Linked DNA regions of Arabidopsis thaliana. The main gene of each other region encodes a partner of the protein of the gene in region 2 in a complex. Each region holds a gene or a part of one and is shown on either strand. Other genes may lie near its edges. The genes, in order: THO2, DWA1 and THO7.

Region 1 (3,754 bases), on a different chromosome or scaffold from region 2:
TACACAGGTAAAGTAGAAATTCTTATAAGCATTAATCTTTCGCAATAGCAATTCACTCAGAGTAACTATTACGTAAATCAGAGCACAGTGCAGCTGCATTGATGACTAAAGTGTGAAGTCATATTAATACAGCAGTTACAGAAGTGTGAAGTCCTCACCTCTTTCCCCTTCAAATCTTGGGCCTTTATTTTAACCATATCAGCTTCCCAGAGAAACTCCTCCTAAAATAAAATAAATAAAACGCCTTCAGAAAATTTTCTTCTTACTGATCAAGAAAATAGAGAGGTTAAGTGGGTGGGGTACAAACTACTCAAATTGGGAATAATAACAAACATTTTAGGACTTGCCCGCTCCTATCCTTTACATCTACAGCAAGAAGAAGAGGGCTATTCCGTGAGACCAGCTGGTCCACTGGATCTTTGAGGACAATTCTTCAGTCTTAAGGGATTAATGTGACATTCGAAACAGGCTACAGCCTTGAAGTTAACTTCTATAACTACCTTAGCAGCTACAATAACTATTATTTAGCAGTCTCTATCTATCACTCCAGACTTGTTCAAGCTACGGTTTCTATGATGGGCAGTAGGATTGCATGATGCACATGCTATATAGATGAGGGGTACCAGTGAGGGAGTTATCGAGAACTAGTGAAAGGTGGAAGGGGGGATAAGAGGGGACTCTATTAAGAAACCTCTCAAAGCTGTATTTTCTTGTTTTAAGTTCTATTAATATAAAGATTCTCTACGTATTACTCTGTTTCATTGGCTGAACGTAACATAATGTTTACCTCGCAACGCTCTTGGAAAAGCCTTTGAGGGACTGTCTGTGATTCCACAAGCCATTTCGCCTACCAAAAAAGAACAATTGGTTCATTAGCTGTGAGCATAGAAACCTTGAGGAGATGGTAAATGAGAACAGAAAGAATATTTTAAGGAAGAAACTAAAGTACGCAATCATCAAATTCAATAAAATAAGACATATGCTAACAACTCCTCTGTAAGCAGCTCATCAGAGAACATTGGATCAAGCATACAAGGAAAATTCAATACCAAACTACGCTAATAGATCATCTAAGGCACTATGGTCAAAGTTTCAGCTCCTTAGGATGAAGTAGCCTTTTACAATCAGGAACTTTCTTGCAACCTGCCCAGGATGAGCCATCGGTTGGTTGAACCTTAGGACACTACTGATAGCTATACACCACATGCCTAATCTATTCATAGGATGTTACTTTTTGTGATCACTAATATCTAAAGAGCTAGAATTATCTTTCCTCAAGACTAACAAATCCAAACAATGATCAATTTTCAAAACGTAAAATAAATTCTAGCACTCACCAATTTGATTAGACGAGAACGTTGATCTCCCGACATGGTAAGCTGCAAAACAAAGCAAAGAGAACACGAACCCAATCAATCCAACGATCAGTATCAATAACCTTGCACAATCATCTCTGAGCTAAGGATGTCAAAACTGTAATTGGACTTACGTCTTGAGCTATCTGAGTCACAACATCCGCAAAACACGAAGCTAATTCTTCTCTCGATGGCTTATCCAAAAACTCCACACCTTCCAACACTGCCTTACAGCTCTGAATTGGCAATTCGCCACGAACCTAATAATCCATCACGAGGCACCGTTGAGGAACTCGAACAACATATACGCGTGATTGGATAGTAGTAGGAAGAGAAGGTGGTGTTTGTGTGTATACCAAAATCCAAGAGAGCTCGTAGAGGAAACGAAGCATCGGCACAGAGCTGGGCAGCTTGGTTCCATAGTTGCCATTCTTACCTTCACGAACAAACTCCTCCGTCACGTACTTACACTCCAGTAGCGGAAGAGACATCTTAAACCCCTTTCGTGTGTATGTATGTATATCTTTCACTCTCCTCCCTTTTCGAAACCCTAGAAGATTAAGAAAATAGGGTTTAGACTTCGATTGGCGACCAGAAAATAAGCATTCCGATAAGATGAAAAGGGAGAGGAACGAACAATTTTGATCAGAGAAGAAAAAGAGAAATTAGGGTTTTTGAGAGATTATTTGATTTGGTGGAAGTAAATTGAAGACGATGATGATGACGGTGTGAAGATGATGCAAATATGTTTTTGATTTTGCAGAAGAGGGGACTATTCTTTTCCTTTTTCTACTACTTACCGATTTTGTTTTTCTGTCGTCTTTTGTTTCAGCAAATTATGTTGTATACAATTTCAATACAAAACCGGGTCCGGTTAAGTCGTATGATTTTGTTTTGAATGGGCGTGAAACTATGAATTGGTTGTTATTGAACAAGCCCATGGGCTCAGATGATCTTTGAGTCCACCACGATACTACTAACAAGGCAATTAGGCAAATATCGAATTAAAAATGTTAATTACATCTTTTGGTCCTAACAGATATAAACAAATAGAAAGCAACGAGTACAAGTACTAGCTAGTAACATACCAAATTAACTAAAATATGGAAACCAAAACCTAAAAAATTTCTCAGCGTTCTTCGCTCCATTCCCGTTTTCAACCAGAATCGTTAACTACTCGGGACAAAAAAACGATCAAAGAAAGTCAGAAAAGATCCATAAGCAATTGAAAAGTTGATCCAACTTACAGTCATCTTCTCCTTCTTCTCCTCCTCGTCCTCCTTTGCTCAAGAAACAACAACAAAAGAAAACGGGTCGGTTTGACCAACGTTATTCGAAAGCTATTTGTTTTAGGTCTGGCCTGTTTATAAACTCATTATGTTAAAATCTAATCCGCTAAAAGTCATTTATAGTTAAACTTAATGTGCCTGTATTGGCGCGAGGGCTGCTGTTATTTTGTTATGTTCAAATCAGTGCTTCCAAATTGCCTCGTCTAGAATTAAAGAATATGCTTAGAAGAATTTTTGTTATATATTAAACATTTTGGTTTTTGTTAGGTTTTTTGGATCACTTATAATTTGTAATGTTGAATTCATTTGTTTTTTTTTATTAGTCAACCAGACTTTCCGACATTATCTATTATTAACTACATGTTTGTGTTTCAGTTTAACTAATTTATTAAGGCCATAGGAAAATCGTCAAATACTAACCACACGAAATAACTATAGATACTGTACTTTGGTGTCATTAAATTCAAATTGGAGTTTCATATTACCCGAAAAATGAATCGTTTTATAATTTTTATGTTAGTTGTTGCGACGTATTTTGGATTGCTTGTATCAGTTTTGTCTTGTAAACGTAACACAATTGAAATTATGAATGATCTTGGTCCCGGTTTGGTTCTCTAGTATCATCGTCATTCAAAAGACGACAATTTAGACGTCGCAAATTTACAATTCAAGGAACTAAAACAAATCCGTTTCGGAGACATGTTTGGAAGAAGGACAAGATGGACTTGTCTTTTGAAACACGGCTTATACATGCGATATTATAAAGATTTTGTAGCATATAGAGCAGCCAACATTGATCGATGTGATGCTCTACGTCGTTAGATTGCTAGAAATGATGGAATTTACCTTGTGAGAAATAGAAATCCTCAACCAAAGTTCCATCATGCATGGAATAAAACTAAGTAATGTTGATGAAAATACTATTTTTGTTGTCTTTACAATTTACGTCAACATTCTTCGTAACCTAAAAAAAAAAAAAAATCTTCATAACCTAGGGTTATAATTTATAGCAAATCAAATATGTATCCATTATATGGAAAACGAATACAAACTACTTTTCCGATCCAGACAAACAGACAGTGTGTCGTCTTTTTTAATTTTTTTGTATTA
Region 2 (3,754 bases):
CTGTCCACAAACCTGAAAGAGGAGAAAATCATACCAATAACAGTAAATACATGTTCAGTATTTAAACTTCTAAGTGATTCTTCAGGAGAAAGGAACTATATTCTTAGGTTACTGGAGGCAACAATCCCTTCAAACAAATAGCAGGTTGCGAAAATGTTAGATTATCTAGTTGCTTAGTTCTTACCAACCAGCTTTCACTCCCATCAAGGGCCATAGAACTAACGCGAAGGCGGGACTTTTTATCCTGGGAACCAATTACTTTAACACATTTTCCCGTTTTGCAATCTGGTTGACAAAACAGAAAGAAGCCCTTGAGCGAACAAAGCTTAGTCTAGACAACTAAAGTAAACCACATGAACCAAAACATAACATAGTGGAAAGTTCTGTAATCACCAAAATGAATCATCATAGAGTTGTAAGAAGCAGCCAACAAAACTGAGGAGCATTGGATCTTAAGTACCAACATGAAGACTCAAATGATTTCAAAAGTTCTATAACCACGTATGACCTAATACTAGAAATTACAGCATAAAGAAATATGGTCGGGAGCATGTTACCCCAGATTCTCGCAGTCCCATCCTCTGAACCCGTCAATATCTGGAGAAAGAGACTACAATCAGACAAAAATCCAAATGTGGAACTCAGATTTGGATAGGTGCATTTCTAATATTTATGGTAACATCATTACCTGACTTGCAGAACTACGAGAAACTACAGTATGCAAATAGTCTGAATGACCTTTAAAGGTCATTTTAATCTTACCACTCTCCTGAAATTGTTGGATACACATAAATGATTTTAGAAAGTTAAGATATCTGGATTCACATAGGACATACATCTATCATGGTCAAATACATACCACGTCCCAACAATATGCGCAAGAATCACCAGCTGCTGTAAATACACTTCCTGACTATCAAAACGAAAGAAGTGAGAGAGGGTGAAACAGTTATCCTGTGAGACTGTCTAACCAAGCAATGAAATTTAAATACAATTCCAACCTGAGGATCAACAGACATGGCATTGATCTCAGGCATCGGTGAAAGCGCACCCCAAGGACCTCTATAAGAAAAAGAATGGTGATTATACACACAACTATTACGAACACTGACATTTGAACCCACAATTATAGCATTTTCAGTAACAGAGTTATCAAGTAGAATAAAAAATGAACAAAACTCATACTCACTTGTGTTGTGGATTAATCAGTTCAAGCAATGGCTTCAGATGATTCTCTGTAGATCATAAGAAAAACAACCACTAAGCTCCAAAAAGCATCATTCATATCAAAAACCACAAAAATGGCACACACACACCTTTCAAATGAAGAGACACATCTGATTCAGCAAATTCTCTCCATTTCCATCCCCTAACTCTACCATCATCACCACAACTACACATAACCAGATCAAAATTTCAAACTCTCAATTACAATTCATCAAAGACTCATCAATCAACAAAGAGAGATTTAAGTCTCTACCTAAGTAGCAAAGCATCTTCGTCTTCACCATAGAACTTAACATCATAAGCAGGACCTTCGTGTGCCCTAACCACTCTCTCAGGTTCAGCCACCATAACATCTTGACCTTTCGAGTAGCCAAAACTCGCCGATTGAGACACAAGCGAGTTCAGTGAATGGAAAGCTAAAGTTCCATCGCTGGAGGCTACAACAAATGCGTCTGGATTAGAGATTCTCGCCGGAGGAGCCCAGGCGGTTCTGAAGACGGTGCGTGTCTCTATCTCTCGCTCCTTCAAAATTGATTCTCTATACTCATCTTCATTCCAGTTTGTAGCGTCTCCGTACATGGTCCTCTGCTTCTTTGCAATTCCCGGTGATACTTGCGAAACGCCAGCGATATTACCACCAGTGGTTTAGTGCAATTGACGACTGAGAGAAAGCAATCCCTAAACCGGCCGATTTAGTAATTCTGTTAATTATATTTTACTAGCTTGTTTTTTTTTTGTCGATCAAATTACTAGCTTGCTTAAATAGACGAATTGAAGAAATAAATTTAATTTTGTATCGATAATATTTGAATTCTAAATAGTAATATATACATATTTTGTAATATTTAATTTAGTAATTTTATTTAAAAACAAAATTTTAATTTTATACATTTCATTTTAATAGAAAAATAGGTAAAAAAACTCTCACATTTTTTAAAAACATGAAAAAAAATCTTACCTTTTTAAAAATAGTAAATTAACACCTAGGATATCTTATTCAAACTAACATATCCTATGTTATTCAATTATGAATTTTTAAAAGTATCATGAAATCTAATGCTATTGAATTACTGATTTTAAAATCTCCTTAAAAATCTTCTGTTATTGAAAACATTTTAAAGATTGGATTTTAGTGACTTTAAGAGACTTAAGTGGATTTTCTTAGTTAAAAATATATAATTTTAAATCTCATGGTTTTAGGTGGAATTTGAGAGGATTTTACCATAAATCATAACAACCTCCTTAAATTCATCCAAATTCTTTAAAAAATCAAAATTATATAAAAACTCAAATAACTTAAAATATAAGATCGAATACACCTCCTTAGATTCTAGTGTTATTCAATTTTTGATGATTTTAATGCAAGTGTTATTCATTTTTCTGTCAAAACCAACATTTCATTCAAATCACCAAACCGAAAGTATCAAAGGATAAACCTCCAATGTAATTGAAAAACTCAATTAATTTTGAATGCAGTATGAGTAGAGAATTTCACTTCCTCCGCGGAGATCTGTCTATTCGTTTTAGAGATTCCATAGAATTCAAGATTCAGATGCTCTATTTCGTGTTTAATGTTAATAGCACAATATGATGAAGACAAATCAATTCAAAATTTTTTGTTCCACTTCTTTTGGTCTTCCGTCTCTTCAAATTTTGACCCATATATCTCCTCATCTATATCTACCAAGAAAAAATCATAAAGAAGACTCTGTGCGTTTTTGTTACAATTAAAATCTCCACCTTTCTTTTTGGCACTTCCAGCTTTCATAAATCTCACATCTAGGGCTACATAAATCTCATTCGCAAATACTGATTCGGAAAAAAAATTGAATTCATCCAAAACAAATGAAGCCGTCCTAGACCATCTGTAAGCATCAACTTCTTAGTACTATTCACTAGAGCATATTTGTCCTCACCCAAACATAAGTTTGCCAACTTCTCGGAGATAAAAACTGACATGCATCGTTTGCAACTCATCTCGAAAAGAATCTGGTAGATTAATCAACATGAGAGATTTTTTCGGTAGTGGTATTATGTAACCGCCATCATCAAAACCCAAGCTGGTAAGTACGTCTTCATCAGAAAATTCAGGGTCCATTAATTGTTCCTTTGTTGGTTTAGGTTTCTTATTCTTTGCTGGTGCGATCTTTGGACGATAAACATTTATTCTAATACGTTTTTTACCTCGACTTTTCTTCGTCATACCAGTATTCCAAACTGTGAAGTACATAATGGCTGTTAAAAGCTAGAAAAATTGCAGTATAGGTAATGACTAATGGACCATGTAGTTTATGGTCGGCTGATTGATGAATACACATGTAAATTTTGGTATGATTGAATAAACGTTGACGTTTCTAGAAACGTATTTAGGGGGACCGCTTATGTAGTGCTTGCGTGAGACACAAACACATATGAACAAGGGAATGTGGAAGGAGAATCAAATCAAATCAAATGCCAAAACAATATTAAAAACGTATTTCGAAGATGTTCATAATTCGTTGTCCTTGCATCTTTTGTCTTTATTTAA
Region 3 (3,754 bases), on a different chromosome or scaffold from region 2:
TCACGACGTAATTAATTTATAGTAAACCACCTCGGTTTAATTGAATCAACAGTTCAGCCTCGGTTTGGAGTAAAAAAGTACATTACCAAGAAATTGGTATTTCTTAACCGGTTATACAAACCATAATTTCTTAAACATCTGCATTTTACAATGATACAATCTTTCTTGCATCTGCAAATTTGAAAGAAACAATCTTTGTTTCTCAGTTCTTCTATCCGAATCACAGGTTTCAGTATACTGAGCTGCCGCAGTTTTGGTTAACATAGGCATATCAGAAACAGGAAACAGATGACAAAGCAAACGCTTGAAACATGATGCAGGTTTTATCGAGATTTGGACTTAATCAACAGACATAGCGTCGGTTATGTTCCTCTGATCTTCCGACGCTGACCGAATCTCGTCCACCAAACTCTTCTGCTCATCTTCCATTGTGTTCTGCAACTCATCCACCTACATTCCCAAAAACGTTCACAATCACAAACTCAAACTTCAAACATAGATCACGTAATGAAGACTGAAACGTAAAAGGTTCGGTTTTTTGACATTACCACATGCATCAGGAGAGCAAACTGCTTCTTCCTTAGCTCAAGCAATCTCCAACTTGCAGTGCTCTCTGCTTCAAGCTCAGCAATCTCCTTGTTCAATTCATATATAACCTTCTCTGTCTCTGACCTTGGCGGTTGCGCAGAAATCAGTTTCCTTATCGTCTCACACTCTTCTTTATGCTGTCTATCTATTTTACTCTCCTCAAGCTGCTTCTTTAGATCTTCAATCTCAGCTTTCGCCTGCATTATCTGCCTTTCCGTCTCATCTTTCACCTCATTAAAGCTCTCTTTCTCCCTAAGGTTTGCTTCCACAACCGCTTGGCTCTTCAGAAGCGGAATCTCGAAAGTTGACAGTTCCTGTAAAAAAGCTTTGGCAAGTCTACCGCAGTCGTTATAGTTCTCTTCTTCTTTATCCACCTCGAGTACAAAAGAAGTGAACTTCTTCTGAAGTTTCTTCAATGGAGGCTCGCCTCGAGTGGTCGTGGTTCGGGTTAGAAGCCGGTTTCTTATGATTTTGTCATCGTCAACAGGATCAAATGCATAATTAACCTTAGTTACTACAGTCTCTAATCTACCAGAAATTCTCCTTGCTTTAACTGACATCTCAACTTACTTAAAAACCTCTTAATTCAATCCTGCAAAGGCAATGCACAAACAAAGAACATTCAACAACCAAACAATCTTAACCTACAGAAATAAAGCTAAGGGATACATATTCAAGCTTGGATCTAAATAGCAGAACTGAAACATAAAGTATTACCATTTACGCAATAAATCTCTCGATTTCTTATTCTCTTCTTCAATTTCTCAATCAAACTTAAATAGATTTTCATGAGCATTCATCATCAAAATCTTAACTGTTATTTCATTGATTCGTAAGCAATTTCTCAATCGTACCATTCGAACACAATTTATGGTACAAAAAAAAGCAAAAGGTTAACTCTTTACTTACTTGAAGTGACCCCAGATCCAGATTCGTCTTCTGCTATCAAAAATTGAGCAAAACAGGTCCCTTTTGTTCAAATTTTGATGAACCCTAAAAATTGAGACAATTCATCTTCGTCCTCCCTTGTCTTTTTCTTTTTGGGTTAAATGCAACAAGTACTCTCAACTTATATTATATTACAAAATAGACCCTAAGTTATTAAAATATAATATATACCCACATTCTTTTTTTTTATACTCTAATGCCCTGTTAATTTTTTTTTACAAATAATTGTACAAAAGGCCCACAACTACAAACATAATCTAGTAATCGAGTATACACATGACACCAAATCTTACTTTCATAAAGTGTCACTCAAAAATTAAATTAAATTAAAATCTATTGAGATATAGAAATGTGTAGCAAGGAAATCAAAACCATAAAAGATAACTTAAAAAGACTCTAATTTTACGGGTCAAAAAATCACATGATTGAACAAGAATGTACATTTTCGTCGCTAAAAATCTGAGAGGGATAAGCATGTTGAGATGAATACTGAGGAGGGTAACTAAAGATTTTGTTTCCATCACTTTCTTCCTTCTTATTATTGTTCTTCTTATTATTGTCTTTGCCTTTCTCTGTAATTTGACTTAGAAGCTCTGCATGTTTCCCAAGTTTTTTCTTGATTTTCTCCACAAGTTTTGGAGGATCCATGACTCCTCGTACCACTACCGTTGACTTTGACCGGTCTGGTTCCACCGATTGAATGCCTTTTAATTTGTCAAAACAAACAAACATATTCTAAGTTGTTTTTTTTAACTTTCGATATCGTATTATTTCTATATGTATATACAAAGATTACCTTTTATTTTTTCAATGCCTCTTTTGATTTCATGAACACATCCTTCACAGTGCATGTTCATTCTTAAAATTGCAGTTTTGATCTCGGGAGCACTCTAAAATCATGCAAAAAATATTTAGAAATGATTAGATATGTTAGTTGTTATTCTCAGATTAATTAGACAAGGTATGATATAAATGAGAGTATATATCTAAGTTCTAACACGAAATAATTGGAAATAACTTACTTCTTTCTTTTGCTGTGGCTCCTTCTGATCTTGTTTAGGGTTATGTTTTGGGGAAATCATCTCAGCATTTCTACTAAATTTCTTTTGCACTCTTCGTAATATCTTCAACGGATCATCAAATTTTCCAGACACAACAACTTTATTGTCTCCTATCTCTGTCTTAATATGCTCAACCCCTATAAGACAAATAAGATAATAGCTACTTATGAGTCATGAGTAAGAAGAAAAAAACGGTAATCCTATTTTTTAATTGATGCTTTAAGAACTAGAGATTACTATTCGTTATGTCATTGTGGGAATTAATAGACAACTTCTCTAGATTACAGGAAAGAAAAATAAAACTGAAACCAGACTAGATAATGCTTAAGTTAAATTATAGTACAATTTCACTCAATGATAAATGATTAAATATTTGACATTGATTCTTATGATCGAGACCATATATATATGATTCCATTAAAGAGGGAAAGTAATCTAATAATGTTTCTTTTAATAGAGTATTACCATCATAGCCCCTCAAGCAATGAGAAACTTGTGATGCACATCCTTCACAGTGCATGTAAACCTTCAGAACAATTTCTTTACATTGATTTTTCTTATCAGACTTATCGACTGATGAATCTCCATTTTTCTGGTTCTTCTTTTCAGACTTGTTGTCTGATTCTCCATTTTGCTTGTTCTTTAGAACCAAATCCAAAACACAAAATATAAGTTCACATAATTTACTTAACAAATTACTGGAATTACCAAAGACAGGAATGCACATACCTTTCCCATATCAATGTTTACTCCTTTGTACGACAAGTGCAATGAAAAAGTTGAATAGTGAGACTCGATATATATAAGGTCAGAGAGGTTTTACGATCAATTAATTATTTCATTTGTAACATACATAAAATTATTTACTTCTCAATCTGGATGATCCTATTTGTTTACAATGAATAATAATTCTAATATTCACTAACAGGATTGATGACAAAGAGACAAATAATTTTGTAACGATCATTAGTAAATTAAATTTCAATCGGGACTTGTGTAACTTCTTATTCAGTGTCCAAATAAGTACACTATTCATTATTCCGATTTTCTAAAATCATGAATAGTTACAAATCTTCGAGCTTTATTTTCTTACTTATCAACATTTTGTTGTTGTTGTTGTCAAATACTGTAGTATTATCTGCTAAATCATGGATTTT

Evidence for each region.
Region 1: DWA1 (region 2) and THO2 share a complex: the UniProt entries of both Arabidopsis thaliana proteins name them as parts of the THO complex.
Region 3: DWA1 (region 2) and THO7 share a complex: the UniProt entries of both Arabidopsis thaliana proteins name them as parts of the THO complex.

What each region holds. Positions count from the first base shown.
Region 1 is NC_003070.9:8,740,302-8,744,055, reverse strand, and holds the start of THO2 (THO2), read right to left. Parts: upstream 2,117-3,754; 5' UTR 1,993-2,116; exon of another isoform or gene 1,906-1,992; 5' UTR 1,847-1,905; coding exon 1,712-1,846; exon of another isoform or gene 1,616-1,711; coding exon 1,490-1,615; intron 1,380-1,489; coding exon 1,338-1,379; intron 848-1,337; coding exon 788-847; intron 222-787; coding exon 159-221; intron 1-158. UniProt on the Arabidopsis thaliana protein: Acts as a component of the THO subcomplex of the TREX complex which is thought to couple mRNA transcription, processing and nuclear export.
Region 2 is NC_003071.7:8,413,269-8,417,022, reverse strand, and holds the start of DWA1 (DWD (DDB1-binding WD40 protein) hypersensitive to ABA 1), read right to left. Parts: upstream 1,978-3,754; 5' UTR 1,807-1,977; coding exon 1,481-1,806; intron 1,394-1,480; coding exon 1,317-1,393; intron 1,236-1,316; coding exon 1,190-1,235; intron 1,063-1,189; coding exon 1,002-1,062; intron 914-1,001; coding exon 860-913; intron 770-859; coding exon 689-769; intron 598-688; coding exon 558-597; intron 286-557; coding exon 185-285; intron 13-184; coding exon 1-12. Other genes in the region: AT2G19420 (uncharacterized protein), read right to left, coding at 3,140-3,444. UniProt on the Arabidopsis thaliana protein: Acts as a component of the THO subcomplex of the TREX complex which is thought to couple mRNA transcription, processing and nuclear export.
Region 3 is NC_003074.8:665,292-669,045, forward strand, and holds the start of THO7 (Tho complex subunit 7/Mft1p), read right to left. Parts: upstream 1,632-3,754; 5' UTR 1,498-1,631; exon of another isoform or gene 1,306-1,497; intron 1,181-1,305; 5' UTR 1,149-1,180; coding exon 549-1,148; intron 451-548; coding exon 340-450; 3' UTR 1-339. Other genes in the region: AT3G02960 (Heavy metal transport/detoxification superfamily protein), read right to left, coding at 1,954-2,240, 2,333-2,426, 2,559-2,734, 3,063-3,237, 3,327-3,335. UniProt on the Arabidopsis thaliana protein: Acts as a component of the THO subcomplex of the TREX complex which is thought to couple mRNA transcription, processing and nuclear export.